2 linked regions of the Rhinolophus ferrumequinum genome follow. The protein of the gene in region 1 binds, or shares a complex with, the protein of each later gene. Links are inferred from orthologs where the notes say so. Each region holds a gene or a part of one and is shown in the gene's direction. Other genes may lie near its edges. The genes, in order: PSMB10 and PSME4.

The links.
Region 2: PSMB10 (region 1) and PSME4 share a complex: the UniProt entries of both Homo sapiens proteins name them as parts of the spermatoproteasome. The link is inferred for Rhinolophus ferrumequinum from reciprocal best matches to the Homo sapiens genes PSMB10 and PSME4.

Annotation. Positions count from the first base shown.
Region 1 is NC_046298.1:17,478,425-17,486,834, reverse strand, and holds PSMB10 (proteasome subunit beta type-10), read left to right. Parts: upstream 1-4,794; 5' UTR 4,795-5,099; coding exon 5,100-5,155; intron 5,156-5,400; coding exon 5,401-5,488; intron 5,489-5,578; coding exon 5,579-5,676; intron 5,677-5,772; coding exon 5,773-5,913; intron 5,914-6,148; coding exon 6,149-6,264; intron 6,265-6,374; coding exon 6,375-6,433; intron 6,434-7,073; coding exon 7,074-7,225; intron 7,226-7,348; coding exon 7,349-7,460; 3' UTR 7,461-7,513; downstream 7,514-8,410. Other genes in the region: LCAT (phosphatidylcholine-sterol acyltransferase), read left to right, coding at 364-517, 1,234-1,390, 1,470-1,585, 1,674-1,769, 1,860-2,084, 3,029-3,603. UniProt on the Homo sapiens protein: The proteasome is a multicatalytic proteinase complex which is characterized by its ability to cleave peptides with Arg, Phe, Tyr, Leu, and Glu adjacent to the leaving group at neutral or slightly basic pH.
Region 2 is NC_046296.1:33,423,797-33,432,365, forward strand, and holds the start of PSME4 (proteasome activator complex subunit 4), read left to right. Parts: upstream 1-5,396; 5' UTR 5,397-5,419; coding exon 5,420-5,661; intron 5,662-8,569. UniProt on the Homo sapiens protein: Associated component of the proteasome that specifically recognizes acetylated histones and promotes ATP- and ubiquitin-independent degradation of core histones during spermatogenesis and DNA damage response.

The DNA of each region.
Region 1 (8,410 bases):
AGGGGAGGGAGTCTGACCCAGCCCGCCTGCTGGAAGACCTGGCTCAGGCTACTGTGGGCAGGGACCCCACCAAGCCAAGCCTAATGGAGCCAGCCAGCTGAGGCCTGCCTTTTTTCAATAAAACATTGTGTACTTCTGGGCCTCCTGCTGCCCAGGCTCTGTTTCCCCTGGCGCCACGGGAAGAAGGCGGAACTGAACCTAGGCCCAGAGCCGGCTCCCTGAGGCTGTGCCCCTTTCCGGCAATCCCTGGCCACCGCCATTGGCCAGGCTTTCCCTCCCACTGGCCCCAGGGCCCCTCCTACCCCCACTCCAGATAAGGCCAGCCCAAGACCGCTTCACTGGGCAGTAGGCACTGGGGCTGGAATGGGGCCGCCCGGCTCCCTATGGCAGTGGGTGCTGCTGCTGCTGGGGCTGCTGCTCCCCCCTGCCGCCCCCTTCTGGCTCCTCAATGTGCTGTTTCCCCCGCAAACCACGCCCAAGGCTGAGCTCAGTAACCACACAAGGCCCGTCATCCTCGGTAAGCCCCCACCAGGCCCCTGATGCAGCAGGCCAGACCTTGGGGAGCTTGGGCCCCAGCCCCTGGTAGTTGACCCTGCCAAGGCCCTCTGCCCCTGCATTAGCCCTGATCCCTGCTTCAGTGTTTGGAGGGGCCAAAGGCTTCTCCTGCAGAGAAATTAACCCCTTCCCCCCACCTCACTTCCTGTGTCTCTGAGTTATCTACCCCCGGTGGGTGGAGTGGGGGGCGGGTGTGCCTAACAGCGTGGCCAGGGCAATACAAGCTGTGGTCAGCTGCAGCCACTGAACCCTCGGCCAAGCCCCACTACTCCTTCCTCAGCCCCCACCCCAGCAGGGATAAGATGCCCAACCCAGGAGAGCAGGAGAGGCCCCTCAAGGCCTGCCCTACTCCGAGGCCCAGACCCCACTGCCCCATACCTGCTTATTCTCACCTTGGACTTTGGCAGTAATGGAGACAGGCTAGGTGTTTACTTTTGGGGGGGCAGAGGTCAAAGCCTTGGCCTCTGCACTTTCCTTGCCTGAGGGGGAGCCTGGGCTTTGTGCTGCTGGAGGGACGGGGTGGGGAGTTGGGGGGTGATCAGAAAGAGGATCTTGATCTTCATCCCTGGGGGTTGAAGGGGTGGGGCTGGTCACTGCAGGGGGGAGTGGATGGGGTGGGGACCATGGTGGGGGTGGAGAGAAATCCGAGGAATCCAGAGTGAAGGCTAGTGCCCGCAGTGCCTGGCTGCCTGGGGAATCAGCTGGAAGCCAAGCTGGATAAACCAGATGTGGTGAACTGGATGTGCTACCGCAAAACAGAGGACTTCTTCACCATCTGGCTGGATCTCAATATGTTCCTACCCCTTGGGGTAGACTGCTGGATCGATAACACCAGGTATGCGCCATCCCCTCTGTCCCAGCTCCCTCACCCGGTCCCTTGGTCACTGGCCTGCTGAATGTCCCACTGTTCCCAGGGTTGTCTACAACCGCAGCTCTGGGCGTGCGTCCAACGCCCCTGGTGTACAGATCCGTGTCCCTGGCTTTGGCAAGACCTACTCTGTTGAGTACTTGGACGCCACCAAGCTGGCAGGTGTGTGTACTGGGGAAGCGCAGGGCTCTGCCTGTGCTGGGCCGCAGGAGCCATGCCCAGATCCCCAATGCTGTTGCGTCCCCGACAGGTTACATGAACACCCTGGTGCAGAATCTGGTCAACAACGGGTATGTGCGGGATGAGACCGTGCGGGCTGCCCCCTATGACTGGCGGCTGGGACCCAGTGAGTGTCTTTGAGGATGACGGGCTTGGGGTAGGGCAGGTGGTCCCTAAACCCCACTGCCCTGACCCCATCCACTCCCACCCCCTGCAGGCCAGCAAGAGGAATACTACCAGAAGCTCGCTGGGCTGGTGGAGGAGATGCATGCTACTTATGGAAAACCCGTCTTCCTCATCGGGCACAGCCTTGGCTGCCTGCACCTGCTCTATTTCTTGCTGCGCCAGCCCCAGTCTTGGAAGGATCGCTTCATCGATGGCTTCATCTCTCTTGGGGCTCCCTGGGGTGGCTCCATCAAGCCCTTACTGGTCGTGGCTTCAGGTGAGACGGGCTCTGATTACTGGCGTGCTGTGGTGAGGTTGAGGGGTGGAATGAAGCTGACCATGGGCCTGCCCTCGCTCCTGCTTCTGCACACAATGCCATGCGGTGGGTGTCGTCTACCACCCCTGGGGCATGGCCTCTATCGTTGGCCCCCTAAGAGTAATGAGCCTGGCCTGGACCATTAGAGTGACTCCTGCCAGAGTCTGTCTCAGTGATGACAAGGGAAGTTTAACAGAGAGAAGTGAACTCCAGCAATCTGACTCACTGCCCCAGGTTTGTTCCTGTGGCCTCAGGTCCTGCCCACCCAGCTTTCAGCTGCCTTCTGCTCCCAGGAACCTTTGCCCGGGGATCTCTCCTACTGGAGACAGATCTGCCAAAGCCAGGACCAGACCCTAGGAGCCCCTCCCTGAGGAGTGCCACAGTTACTACCTGTTGAGAACCCACTGTGGATGCTGGGCCCAGCCAGACTCGGCCTCCCCTCTAGTAGCTCACAGTCTGGTGAGGGAAACCCTCAGACTACATCAGTTAGTGTCAAACACAAACACGGTCTCATTTCATCCGTCCCAGAACATAGCTCTGACCGCGGTGCAGCACAGATCACAGGGCCAACACACACCTGCCTCAGGGAGAACTGCCAGCACTAAACCCCCCACCCCCCCACCCCGACCTTTTGCACATACACATCCATCCTCAGGAAACCCCTCCCTGCCCTCTTTTTGAGGCCCTATAGCTCTGCCTCACAGAGGTGCCCTCAGGGCTTCTCATTTAATAAGCATACATTGAGCACCTACTAAATGCTAGGCCTGTTCTAGTCTGGCTTGGAGCCAATGTTTGGATTAGGTTGGGACAAAACTGAGCCTGCAGCTGAGCGTGGGCTGGGCAGCAAGTTGTGGGTCGGGGGCAGCCAGGCCTGGCTCCCTGCCTACCTTGCTCCATGTCCACAGGTGACAACCACGGCATCCCAATCATGTCCAGCATCAGGCTGAAAGGAAAGCAACGCATGACGACGACATCGCCCTGGATGATACCCGCCAACCACGTGTGGCCTGAGGACCATGTGTTCATGTCCACACCCACCTTTAACTACACAGGCCATGACTTCCAGCGCTTCTTTTCAGACCTGCACTTTGAGGAAGGCTGGTACATGTGGCTCCAGTCCCGCAGCCTGCTGGAAGGACTGCCAGCACCGGGTGTGGAAGTGTACTGCCTGTACGGCGAGGGCTTGCCCACGCCCCGCACCTACATCTTTGACGATGGCTTCCCCTACACTGACCCTGTGGATTTTCTCTATGAGGATGGTGATGACACTGTGGCCACGCGCAGCAGTAAACTCTGTGCCCACTGGAAGGGCCTCCAGCCACAGCCCGTGCACCTGCTGCCTCTGCATGGGACAGAGCACCTCAACCTAGTCTTTAGCAACCAGACACTGGAGCACATCAATGCCATCCTGCTGGGTGTCTACCGCCGGAACAACTCCACACCCCCAGCTGCCAGCCCAGAGCCCCTCCCCCCTGAATAAAGCTCATCCTTTGCTGCTGTAAGCCTTGACACATGTATTGTGGGTTGAGGGGGGGTCACTAGGGTCTGCACACCAGGATTCATTCATCAGCAGCCGCAGGCCTAGTGCTTTGTGGAGCACAGGCAACATGGGCTTTGCTAAAGCCTAGGATTGAACTGGGCACCCTGAGATATACAACTTCCCACTCTCTGGTTGAGCTGGGAAGGCAGCCTGACTTGTGTCTGCCTCTTCTCTGGGCGTGGGGTCTGGGGACAGCTGTGGGATGGGGCACATGGGTCAAAGGTTTGGGATGGGGGAGATCTGAGCTATCTCTCCCTGCTCCAAAAGGGCAGTCAAGACCCCACCTCTAGACAGGGCCTGTTGAGTGCTAGGTGAGTGACAAAAGCACAAGAGTTTAGAATCTGGCGGCGTGACAGCCACTAATGAGATCATTCATTTCACTAATGGTTTAATTATTACTGGAGCTAAGTAGTCTGAGAAAAAAGTTTAGGGAGCAACAAGGGGTTGAGTACTGGGTCAGGGAAGATTTCCCAGAGGAGGTGTTGCCTCCATTGAGCTCAGACAGATGAGAAGGGTAACATGGGTCACGGTAAGGACTTGAGTTTGAGCCTAAGGGCAGTGTGCAGCTGCTGAAGCGTTTAACCAGGGAAAGAGTGTGACCATATTTCCCATCTAGAAAGAGACCCTTCTCTGCAGGGTAGAGCTGGGGGGCGGGGGGACGAGGGCGGGCAGGAAGTGTAGGGAAGCCAGTGAGGCCAGTGCAGTAGCCAGAGGAGAGAGGAGGCTGGCTGAGACAAAGGCAATAGTTAGGAGGAAAACGTGGATAAAGGGTCACTTGGGAGGTGAAATAAGACTTAGCCATGGGTAGAGCCCAGCATGCCTCCAGGCCACTAGATGGAAAGCCATGGGGCCCCTCTTGGGAGAGGGAAGACAGCACCTGAGATAGGGACTATGAAAGGACCAGCATCAACATTGCTGAGGATTAAGCCTCTGTGTTTGAGGTTTCTGGCAGAAAGCAAAGGCAACAGGAGACAGGCAGGAATTGGGTAAAGGAGGGTGACAAGGGCCTAATGCTGGGAGACCTGTAATAATGCGGACAGAGACCTGGCAAAGGTCTGACAGCCTTAGAATGTTGGTACTTAGGTTAGAGTTGGCGTCAGAGGCACAACTAGGGGCTTAGACTGGAAGTGGCAGGAGGAGCTGACCAATGGCCAGAAGAGAGGAATGTCCTTCGGTTCAGACAGAGGACCTGGGAGCAGCATGGAGAGCCAGGCAAGGGACATCACCCCCTACCCAACCTGCTTAAGACCAGAAGTGAGGGTGAAAGCGAAAGAGAAGCAAAACACGCCAGTGTCCTCTGAGTAAAGGTGAAAGTGAAAGCAGGAAGCGTCAGTGGAGCCCCACAGAGAACAAGGCTTTGGCCCTTCGGGCTCCTGGCTGGTCTCACTCCTCTAACCATCGACCCCCAATTCCTGGACTGCCCTGCTCACCCCAAGATGCTGAAGACAGCTCTACAGACCCAAGGGGGATTCTCCTTCGAGAACTGCCAGAGGTGAGGTGGCGGATGGTTGGTCCCGAGCTGCCTATGCTCTCGGTGAGGTCTTCCGGGAGTGCAGGGCCTTTATTCCTGGTGGCGAAGGGCTGGGGGGTAACATGTGTGGGAAGACTTGGGTTCCCAGACTTACTCTGGGAGGTGAGGGAGACCGGGACGGAGTTGGGCAATGTGACGGGGGGGGGGGGGGGGGGGGGGGTCGTCCCAGAAGAACCGAAACATAGGCCACTCCCTTTCGTTTCCAGAAACTCATCCTTGGAACGGGCGCTCCCGGGGCTCCGGGTCCCTCATGCGCTCAAGACCGGAACCACCATCGCGGGTCTTGTGTTCCGAGTGAGTAGGGGGTTCGAACGGGGAGGCTTAGAGAAGCGGCCGGGGATCTGGCGGGCACTGAGCTAACGGCCTCTTTTCCCCCCTCCCCAGGACGGGGTCATCCTGGGGGCGGATACGCGGGCCACTAACGATTCGGTCGTTGCGGACAAGAGCTGCGAGAAGATCCACTTCATCGCGCCTAAAATCTAGTGAGAATTCCCCAGCCCCGTTCCCCCACGCAAGAACCGCTCCCTGGTACACGCACATCCTAGCCCCGCCTACACCGACCCTCCCTTCGCCCTCAGCTGTTGTGGGGCTGGAGTAGCCGCAGACGCCAAGATGACCACGCAGATGGTGGCATCCAACATGGAGCTACACGCACTGTCTACCGGCCGCGAGCCCCGCGTAGCTACCGTCACCCGCATTCTGCGCCAGACGCTCTTCCGGTGCTGGGGCCGAGCTAAACGTCCCTGGGGAGGGGTCGTTGCGGGGAGGGCGGGGCTGAGGAGGTGGGACGGGGGAGGGCGGGGCTGCGAGTCCGGGTAGACCGGAAGAGGCCGGCCTGAGAGGAGCCGGGCAACAGTCCTGAAGCGCCAGACCGCAGGAAGGGGCGGGGCCCGGAGCCAGGGGCGGGGTCTTGGTCCCGGAGCTTGCAGCCTAACACGGTCACTCTACGCAAAGGTACCAGGGCCACGTGGGTGCGTCTCTGGTCGTGGGCGGCGTAGACGTGACAGGACCGCAGCTCTACAGCGTGCACCCCCATGGCTCCTACAGCCGCCTGCCCTTCACGGCCCTAGGTGAGCGCTTCTGTCCCGTCCCCACAAAGCCCGCACCTGCGACCCGGGCCTCACGTTTGTCTTGTGTTGGGACGGCCTCGACTGACCTCATATGTCCCTCCTGCCTGCAGGCTCCGGCCAGGATGCGGCCTTGGCGGTGCTGGAGGACCGGTTCCAGCCGAACATGACGGTGAGCGACATCACTTACGTGGTTGTTGGTGGGAAGTGCACTCGGAGCTGGGGAGCCCAGAGGGACCCCCTGGCCTAGTCGGAAGGTCGCGGAAGGCTTCTCAGAGCAGACGACAAGTAGGTGGAGACAGAGGGGCCAGTGAAGTGAGGGTAGAGAGGTGCTGTTCCAACAGACTACTAACGGTGCCAAAACTTTGGACTGCTCCAAGAAGTCAAAGCTCAGGACCGTTTGGAGTTGAGGGAGGAGGAAACAGCAGGTGGGGTCTGAGTCTGGGTTTTGTTTGGGGTGGGACAGAAGTGTAGCTTCCAAGGTGCCTAAGGCCCAGAAAGAGAGACAATGAGCCGGTGAATTGGGGACCAAGACCATATTGGTTGGGTGGATAGGCCACTGAGAGCAGAGGCTCAAGTGAAAGTGACTCAGAAATTTCTGAAGATGGGGGCAGTGGAACAGGGGATCTCTGGAGAGAGGGAGGCAGAGAGCTGGAGAGGGGAGATGGGGGTGTAGGGGGTGAGAGGAGTTTAGGTGTGAGCAAATGGTAAGTTTGGGCTTCACGATTAACAGTCCAGGCTGTCGCCTAAGGGTGATACCAGAGGGTATCACCAGAGGGTCCACTGGGCCTCACACACACACATCTCCACAGCTAGAGGCTGCACAGGGGCTGCTGGTGGAAGCCATCACTGCAGGAATCCTGGGTGACCTGGGCTCCGGGGGCAGTGTGGATGCATGTGTGATCACAGAGACCGGTGCCAAGCTGCTGCGAACCCTGAGCTCTCCCACAAAGCCCATAGAAAGGTGAGAGCAACGGAGATGTGGGACTACATGGGAAGATGGGTGGTAGCAGGGGAGCTAGGGGGCTGCTAGAAGATGGGCCACATGTTGGTTCCATGTTGAGATACCATCCATCCTCCCTCCTAGGCCTGGCCAGTACCGCTTTGCCCCTGGAACCACAGCTGTCCTTTCCAAGACAGTGGTGCCACTGCCCCTGGAGCTGGTGGAGGAAACTGTGCAGACCATGGAGGTGGAGTGAAATAGGCTGAGCCTTAGAGCTTGGAACAAGGGGGAATAAATGCAGAAAATACAAACACCTGAAGAGATGGCTGTGTGGTTCTTGGGTGGAGGGGCCAAGCAGCCAGCAGGGCTCTATGGCTAAGGTATCCCTGCAGGAACTACTCCCTCCCACAGCTCCAGTATCTGGCCTTAGAGGTGCCCTTCACCCATCACCTTAGGCATCTACCCTCTTCCAGAACTTCAGCCCTGGCAAGCATTGCAGGCTCAAGGTGGAAAGCCACCTCCTGTCTCCACACCATAGAGGTTCCCCCTACCACTGCCACGCCTTGATCTTGCCATGTAGTCCACTGGGGACTGTTGTAAAACCCAAAAGGCCCCACTTAGAGCCTTTGCCTGGCTCATCAGTGACCCAGGACAAACCCCACACCTCTCAGTCAAGCCCCCCCCCACCCCATCGGCCCCATTGAGGGCTAAAGTGCTGACAGAGGAGCTGCCCATTTTCAAGGGCAGGTTCTTACAGAGCACTACTCACCCTGCTACACCTTTATCCGTGAAACCGTCCTGATGACCAGACTGAGGTGCTAACACAAAGCTGGGTTGTGAGTAGGGGGACTGACTTCAAGTTTTCTGGGATGATGGGTCACAGTGCTCATGTGAGGACAGATGACGTGACACATTTATCCAACAAACCTTTCCTGAGCACCCACTGACTGCTAGGCCAAGGTCCTGGGTGCTGGCAGGTGCGTCCTGCCCTCAGAATGCCTGAGCTCCTCTGGAGCCTTGGAACTGTTTGAGAGGCCGCCCAGCCTCTGGGGAGGGTCTACACTAGGCTGGACATCCCTGGGCCCAACTGTGCTTTTCCCCCCAACATTTAATTATGAATAGTTTTAAACAAACTGGAAAGAAGTACACACTGAACACCTACATACCCACCACAGACTTTACAATTAGTGTTTTGTTATATTTGCT
Region 2 (8,569 bases), on another chromosome or scaffold:
AAACAAAAAAGTTGCTCTGGGTCACATGGTATTCCCACAGAGAAAAAGCCATCTGAAGATGCCCTCAGAATATCAAGAATTATTAAACACAAATAAATGATCCACCATGAACAAAAGTCAGCAAACACATAGCACCCCTAAGAATTGGAGATAATAGAAAGCATGTCAAAATATGATTATCTGAAGTAAATAAGTATTTCTAAAATGATTAAAGAAGCCATTGGAACCATAAAGAACAAAACTCAATGATAAATAGTATGGGCATATTTATCAAAGTACTAAATAGCACATAAAATTAAAAAATACGACCCTTTGAATTAGAAGATCAATGGTTAAGTTAAACAGCAGATCATATACAGATGAATAAAGAATTCTCAGAACTAGAAATGATAGATCTTGTAAAGTTATTCAGAATGAGGTAGAGAGATAAAGACTTAAAAAATATAACAAATATGGAGATTAGACAGAGAAGGTATAACACATGTCTAATGGGAATTCCACCAGGAGAGGAGAACAAAAAAGTCATGAAAAAAAAAAAAAAGTCATGAAAAGATAATAGATGAAAATTTTGCATAACTGATGAATGATACGAATCTTTTGATTTGAGAAATACATCTTCCCTGCAAGATTAATACAAAGAAGCACACATCTAGTTACACTGCAGTAAAATAGCAAAAATGCCTAACAGAGAAAAAAACCAGTAAAATAATAAAAAATTCATTCCTTTAGCTGTGATTTCCTGCTTGTTAAAAATTGAACATATACTTTAGTTCAAATGAAGTGGATACTATAAATAGATAAAAAGGATTTTTGGATGAAATATTAAAAACTTAAAAATCATATAGGAACTAGAAAAACAGTCATTTTTCAGATCCAATATTCTGGTGTCCTTAATAACTGTAACAGCAAGAGTCTGGATACTTGATTACATTAGATGACTAATTTTTAAAGATTATGCTTTTAAATATTTTTAAAGATTATGCTCTGGCAACAGAGATTCATACACTTGTCAAAACAGCCCCAGTCCCAAATGCATCACATATAGAAAAACTAAGGCAGGAGAAGGCAGGAAACTGTCACTTTTGTTCACTGCTAATAAGTGGATTACCAAGTAGTGGGCCAATAAGTATATCAAAGACATAAATATTTGATTGATAATTATCCCTGCCAATTCTTCCAGCTTGAGAAGAAATCTCTCTCTTTAGAATATTTTCCATGAAGGGCTATTGTACTTTCAGGGTCTTCCAAAAAGGATGATTACAGTTCGCTTCCTCCAAGAGCCTAATAAGAAGCCAATGTCTCCCTCGGGGTCTGACTAAAAGGATAATGTGCGTTAATATCCTTTGGCAGAGTATCCTGAGTTCTAAGAGATTTAAAAAAAAAAAAAATGCTTGGGAGTTGTTGTGAGGAGAAAACTGACCCAGACTTTGGGTTAACTGTCTTCAGGGATGAGTAGCCTGCGTATCCCTGAACAACTTAAAGTCTACCAACTTTCTCACCTAACGGGGTTTTAATAGTGTTTTCTACTAAACTTCACATAAAATAACAGAAAGACTTTATCTCTTTTGCTCCAACAATTCTTTTGACTTTTCCAGTTCAGAAATCCACTCCCAGGAAACTTGACATCACCTGGAACTGCTTCTTTGAAGCTGTAAATCCAACATTTCAGTTCTTCCAGACCCCTTGCCCAGGCTAATCCAGTCATATCGTGCTGCGCCACTTCAGGATCGGAGTCCCTTGATCTCTCTGTTCTCTGCTTGTAGGTCCTCTTCTGTCTTCACTTTGACTTTAAGGGGAGCAGAGTTTGCCACACCAAAATATGCCTTGTTGGGATGTTGATTATTTTAAGCTGGTTATCGTTTAAGAAACAAAAGACTCCAGGAGAACCTTTGACCTTCCCCCTAACTGCCTAAAAAATTTTAGATAGAGGGAGAACCTGCTCCAGTAAGGGAGCTATTATTACAGATAACTACAGTTTAATATGAATTAACTGTGATAAACAGGAAAAAAACTACCAAAGCCTTTGATCAAAGTCTTCTTTGTGGTTTATCGTTAAAATGGGCCAACAAACATCTGTTTACCAAACATTTGCTTTCCCATCTCCATGTGAGTTGCCTTTTTTGCCTTTGAAGCCCCGAACTACAACTCCCCCCTCCCACAAGCCACGCCCCCCCCACAACCGTACCCCTTCACCTTAGTCCAAAATGGCATATAAACCTCAACTGTCAGATTTGTCCTTGGGTCTCATGTTCTTATGGAACTCTGTATGTACATACTTAATAGATTTAGTTATTTTCTCCTGTTAATCTGTCTCTTCAACTTGATTATTAGACCAGCCAGAAGAACTTAGAAGAGTAGGAAGAAACTTATTTTCTTCCCCTACAATTTCAACCAACTTAGGCACTCTTTCAAACATTCTCAACTCAATGATCGATATTTAGAGAAGAAAATTCAATGAGGTAATGTAGGTAAAGCACCGGCTGAGAGAAGTGCTCAGCAAATGGTAGCTAACACCACTACCATCACCACTGCCATCATACAGACCCTTCCCTTGCTCCTTTGTCATTCTATCATACCAGCTTGTATGTATACATTCCTGGGCTGCTAAACATTATTGGAGGAAAAAAATCACTCAATTGTGCAGAGAGACGATAGTGAATTCATGCTTCCAGCACTGTCAAGCAATTCTACTATTTCTCTAATCAGTTTTCTGAATTTTGAGACCACTCTAAACCTTTTCCAATCTCCTCAAATCTTCTACCCATCCCTTCCTCCCATCATTCTCATTCTCTTCATTCAGAGAAAAACAAAAACAGTAATCATCAAAAAGAACTTCTCCAACTTCTGGCCAACAAATCTACAAAACCTTTCTACATTTGCATCTATCCCCCTACTTTTTCCCTCTGACAATGGGAGCAACCTTGTTTACTTCTAAGGACCAATGACTCCGCCTTCTCTTCCACTCTCTGTCATCCTCACCCACACACTCATATCTTCAAACTCTCTCTCCATTGGCTCCTTCTCATCAATATTTAAACAAATTTAAATATATCCCTTGCTCAAAAATTCCTTTTTATTCCAGCTACCTCCTTCTCTCTCCTGTTCTTCCCACACAAAATTTTATGAAAAGGTAGTTCACATTTGCTGCCTCTATTTCCTGTTTGTCCTCTGTCACTGTAATCTGGTTTCCACTCCCACATTCCACTGAAACTGTTCTTATCTGCTTTATCAGTCACTGCAAGGATCCCTTCTCAGGTCTCAGTTGACCTGTCAGCCACCTTCTGTGTAGTTGATCACGTCCTCCACCTGAAACAGTTTTTAGGAATGCCCACTTTCCTAGAATGCCTCCGACCTCTCTGACTGCTTCTTGTGAGTGTTCTTTGGTCTCTCTCCTCTTTCTCTGTCCAGCTTCAAATATGGGGTTCCTCAGAGTTTGGTCAAGGGCCCTATTTTTTTCATATCGTTAAATTAATTAAACAGGAGACCCTTAGTCTGAGGTGGTAGCTAATGCCTTGGCAGCCTACTTCAGCAAATCAAAATTTAAGTGTAAATACCTCAAGGTTATGAAATCTAACCGCTAAGGACAAGCAATCACAAGTAGTCAACTAGGCTTGAAGCTACAGCCAATCAAACAGTTTCTTTCTTTGCTTTCACACCTTCTCTATAGTAAAAGTCTTTCTTCTGGCTCCAGTCAGTGGAACACTCTTAACCATTCCAGGTTTGGTGCTGCCCAATTGGAACAGATTTTTGCTCCAATAAACTCTTCAAAATTTTAATATGCCTTAGTTTATTTGTTAACAATACTCTGCATCTCATTCCCTCCGATCCACATATAGGTTAATCCATATCCCCATTGAGATCATCCTTCCTCATCCATACATCAAAATAGTAATACTTACCTACCCCTTAGGCATTCTGCCTTTAAAGCTGTTTCTGCTATGTTCTCAAGTCAGAAAAGTTTCCACTATTTACCCAGCTTCCCAAACCAGAAATCTGACATCATCCTGTCTCTTCCCTCTCTTTCACTTTTAGTATTAAGCTCAGGCCATTCTTCTTGCTTAAATAGCTCTCAATCATTTCAACTGACATCTAGACCATTGTTATGTCACATTTCCTTAAGGGGTCCTGTATTGTCCAGTATTGTCTGTTCCAATCCATTTTTAGAAATGGATTAGAACCACAAAGCCAGAGTGGTTCTTCAAAAATGTAAATTATATCATGCCACTCTTACGCTTAAAATCTTTCGGAGTTTCTTGTTGCTTTTAAGATAAAACTCTGAAAACATCCTAACACTTCCTTCTGTCTCAATTCTCCACTCCCCTCTCTTGCAAACCATCTTCAGCCATCCTTAACTTTTTGAACTTCTAGGGTGCATGCTTGCAGTCTCTGTGCTGTTCCCTCAGGTGAAATGTACTTTCTCTTCTCTTCTTTTTCTAATCAATTCAGCACTTAAGCCTTTAAACTCAATTTACGTATCACTTCTAGGAAACCACTTGACACCCCTCCAGTTTGAACTCTTTAGCTATTCCCAAGGCGTCCTGTACTTATCTAGCAATTAAAGAGTGTTGTTTTGTAATTGCCTATTCCCTAGTCTACAGCTCTGACTGTAAATGCCCGGAGGGCAGAAACTTGGTGCTCTTTAACTTTCCATCTCAAGTGCAAAGAAGGAGTCTGACACACAAAATAGTGGTACAATTAATATTTGTTGAAAGAATAACTATTTCCTTCTTTGGAATGAGGGCAGCCAGGAGAATACCAGAAAGATGAGGGCTTAAAAGGGACAGAGTAGTGAAAAAAAAAAAAAATCTATAACAAGAGGGATGGATACCGGGTCCCTAGGTTTTTCCATACACGCGGTGTGGGGAACTAGGCCAACTGCCGTGCCGGAGGCAACGGCGACTAAGGGCTCTCGAGAGGCATTCGCCAGGAGCGCCCAACACCGGCCCAGGAAGGACAATAGCTTGGAATTCGGCCTCGTGTTTCCGGCGGGGCAGCCTCGCGTTCGGCCGCTCAGGCCCGAGGGTGGGGGCTCCGAGCCCGGCCCACGGCGACGAAGGCGCGGCCCCCGGGGCTCCCGCCCCCGCCGCCACCACCTCCTCCGACGCCGTCGCCGCGCCCCGCCCCGCCCCGCCCCGGAAGTGACTTGAGGCCCGTCCGGAACCTCCGGGCCCGGCGGCTGCAGCGTCATCAGGCGAGCCGGTGCGGGGCAGGCGGAGCGGCCGCTGCCGCCGCTAACGAATTGGGGATCGCGCGGGACTAAGAGCGAGCCGGCCAGGGGAGGGGGCCCAGCTGTCGGGCCGAGGGCGACGGGCCGCCGGCGGCCTCAGGGCGACGACGACGCAGAGGAGGCGGAGCCCGGAGAGGGGTGGGGGCCGGGGAGGGTTAGGGTGGGAGGGGGTGGAGGGGTGTCCCTGGGCTCATGGAGCCGGCCGAGCGGGCGGGTGGCGGGGATCCCCCGGAGCCAGGCGGGTGTCCCGGGCCGGGCCCGCGGGCCTTCGTCCCGCAGAAGGAGATTGTCTACAACAAGCTGCTGCCCTACGCCGAGCGGCTGGACGCCGAGTCCGACCTGCAGCTGGCCCAGATCAAACGCAACCTGGGCCGGGCCGTGCAGCTCCAGGAGCTGTGGCCCGGGGGCCTCTTCTGGACCAGGAAACTCTCCACGTAAGTGTGACCGGGCCTGCAGGATGGGTCTGGGGCAAAGGCTCAAAGGAACGGCGTTCGGGGGCGGGGGCGGCTCTTTGTCCGCCCCTGATGGCTGGACCCTCAACTCTGACCGTATCGAGCCGGTGCAGTAGTCCCAGGGTCGCAACAGAAGCTTCGGAAGCACTCAAGCCTCCTCCCAGCCTCTTTCCTACGGGACCTCCTCGGTCCTTCTAGTCCTCTACGTCCGCCGTTGGTGCTTTTCCCCAGGGGTTTGGGTTGTTGTCTTCCGACCTGCGGGGCCCCGAGGGAGAGACATGTGCAGTCCCCCAAGGGTCCTTCTTGGATCTTTGCCCCTGCAGGAAGGGGAGCAGAAAGGATTCGATTTCGGCGGAGCAACTCTTGATTTCTCCTAGTTCCTCCAGTTCTTTCTTCCCCATACGATCCCCGACTCTAAATAGCCCTCAATTCGCGTCTAGTAACTTTTTCTGAATGGGAAGGAGGCCGTAGGGAGCTTGCAGGTTCTACATTTTTGGGCCTGCTCGGTCTTTGTGGATTTGATTGAAAAGATTGCTTTAAAATCAGCCCTCAGCGCACACTTAGGCTGCATACTAGACAGTAATGTTGAGAAGGTTGAGTCTTAGAACGGGGAAAGTGTATATTACTTCTGTTTGGAAATGTACAATACTACGGAAAGGAGAGGAGAACTGTCAGGTTGTCCTGGGCGTTATTAGTTATTAGTATTGGGTTTGTTACTTTTTTGAGTTGCTGAGATATAACTGTCGATTACCTAAATCAGTTTCAGGAGTTCTGTTCTTTTATTTTTTTAGCTGCGAACTATAATTGGAGAAATGAGTAAAATACAGTTGTGGGGGGAAGGTTAGAGATTTTATTTGCTAGATGGACATCTTCCCTGTGTCAGAAAAACTTTTTTAAAAAAATTTTGCTTGTCTTGTTTGGCTCATTACATAAAATGTTAACATTGTATGTTCATGCATAGGGGTATGGATGGATGAATACTTAAGACATGTCACCTATCCAGTGTTTACCCAAATCTGCTGAGTGAACTGGGTGATGACTCAGGGTTTTGTAATGCAATAGTCTTCTCTACATTTCCTCACAGGATGATTCTTATATGTCTATTATTAGGGAGCCTCTGATTAATTTCTCATCTTCACTTGGCGGTGGTGGTGGGAACAATTATCCCTTTAATTAAAAAGCAAAACTAAAACAGTTTATTTACCCTTTTCAAAGAGTGACCATAAAATGTCAAGGTTAACATCTCTCCTCTTGGTTGGAGAGTGAAGTTTGTGGTGTTCAGATCCGCAGGAGACATGGGAAAAAAGAAATGCAACAGGGAGAAGAACCACTATTAGTCAAAACAGAGAATGTTTTATAAATAATTAAAATTCACATGATTTTTCAAGTGCACCTTCCTGGGTGTTTCGATTACTCAGGCATAGTAAAAATAAAGTTACTTTGCCAGTTCCAGCAATTCCCCATTTTAATCACTTGTATTGGATTTGCCAGAGAATAACCATTTAGGGGGACACAAACAGCTCCTTTTAGATGTGTAATATATAAATATACCAATTGTGAATGCATGTCTGATTTGGATTAATGAATCTAGAATCTACACAGGCATAGTTAAGTATTGTTTTCTGACATTATTACTAAGCTTGGCAAATTATCACTTAGGGTTTTATTATTTTTGGCTTATTAAGTGAAAACCTAGATAGGGCAAAAAATACAATAGAGACAACCCTTGGTGTTTAGGGCAAGATTGCAGTTTTGTGGCTTAATATTGTGAACTTAAAGCCATTTTATTTCTAAATAACCAGCAAGAAATGCTGTCAGATAGAATTTTATTTTGGAACAGTGGTTAAGTGCTTCAAACTGATTTTTGGGATTGCCCTATGAGACAATTTGAACCCGGTGGGACATGTTGTGATCTTGGGTGTTATTTTTCCTCCTAAGTCATGTTAAGGTGACCTGTTTATAGTTGTGCTTGTTTATTAAGTCTTGTGTGCATTGCACAAGTGTACATCTAAATGATGCCAGAACATGTGATGATAGCTGTGAATTACTTGAGTAGTGATTATATTTTAGTACTTTGTAGAAGAATGGAAAGTAGTAATGAAAATAAAATCTAATTTCTCCCACTAGTTCTGTGACTGTGGAAAGTTACTTTAATCATGTTTTTCAATATTCTTGGGAGAGAAATGAGGAGGTTGGACTGAATAATTCCTGAGAAACAGTCCTGCGGTGGTATTTTATGATTTTATTTTTTATCCTGTAGAGCCTCAAATAAACCAGTGTGTATTTTTCTCCGAGGACTGTGAGCAGTTTGTAAAGTACACAGTACATTCCTAAAGAAGACCAGAGTGTACATGCTCTTCAAAGTCGCTGGGACTGGATCCCCGACCAGAAGTGTACACCCCTAATCTGAGCGTCACAGATCTGGGTGGAGGTAGAGTTCTTTCGAAGACACTCAGCCTCCCTCTTTTTAACGTTTTACCACAGTTTTGTAGATGTCATAATTCTGTTTCAATCCACTTTGAGACTTGTGGGTCTGTTTCGCATCTCTGTGAAGAAAGGTTATTTCTGGGTGTTTTAAAAATTGGTCCTGTGAAATAACACAAATTCTCTTGTACAGACAGTTTAAAGTATTAGCACTTCCTCTTCAAAAGAGATTGTGTAACATAACTCATCCACAGGGCCATTTTCTAAGAAGCAAGGAAACAAATTAGAGAAGATAGACACAAACTACTAGTGGTCTTTGGAAAACAGCAGTAAAGATAGCTGGTAGACAGTAAGTGAAAGGTATTGGCAACTGGAATGGCCCAGGTAGAGAATAAAGGGAGTTGAAGAAAGGTAGTCTTGAAAAATTGCTTTTTCTGCCTTGCCTTTCTTCTGTACCTTTCATGAA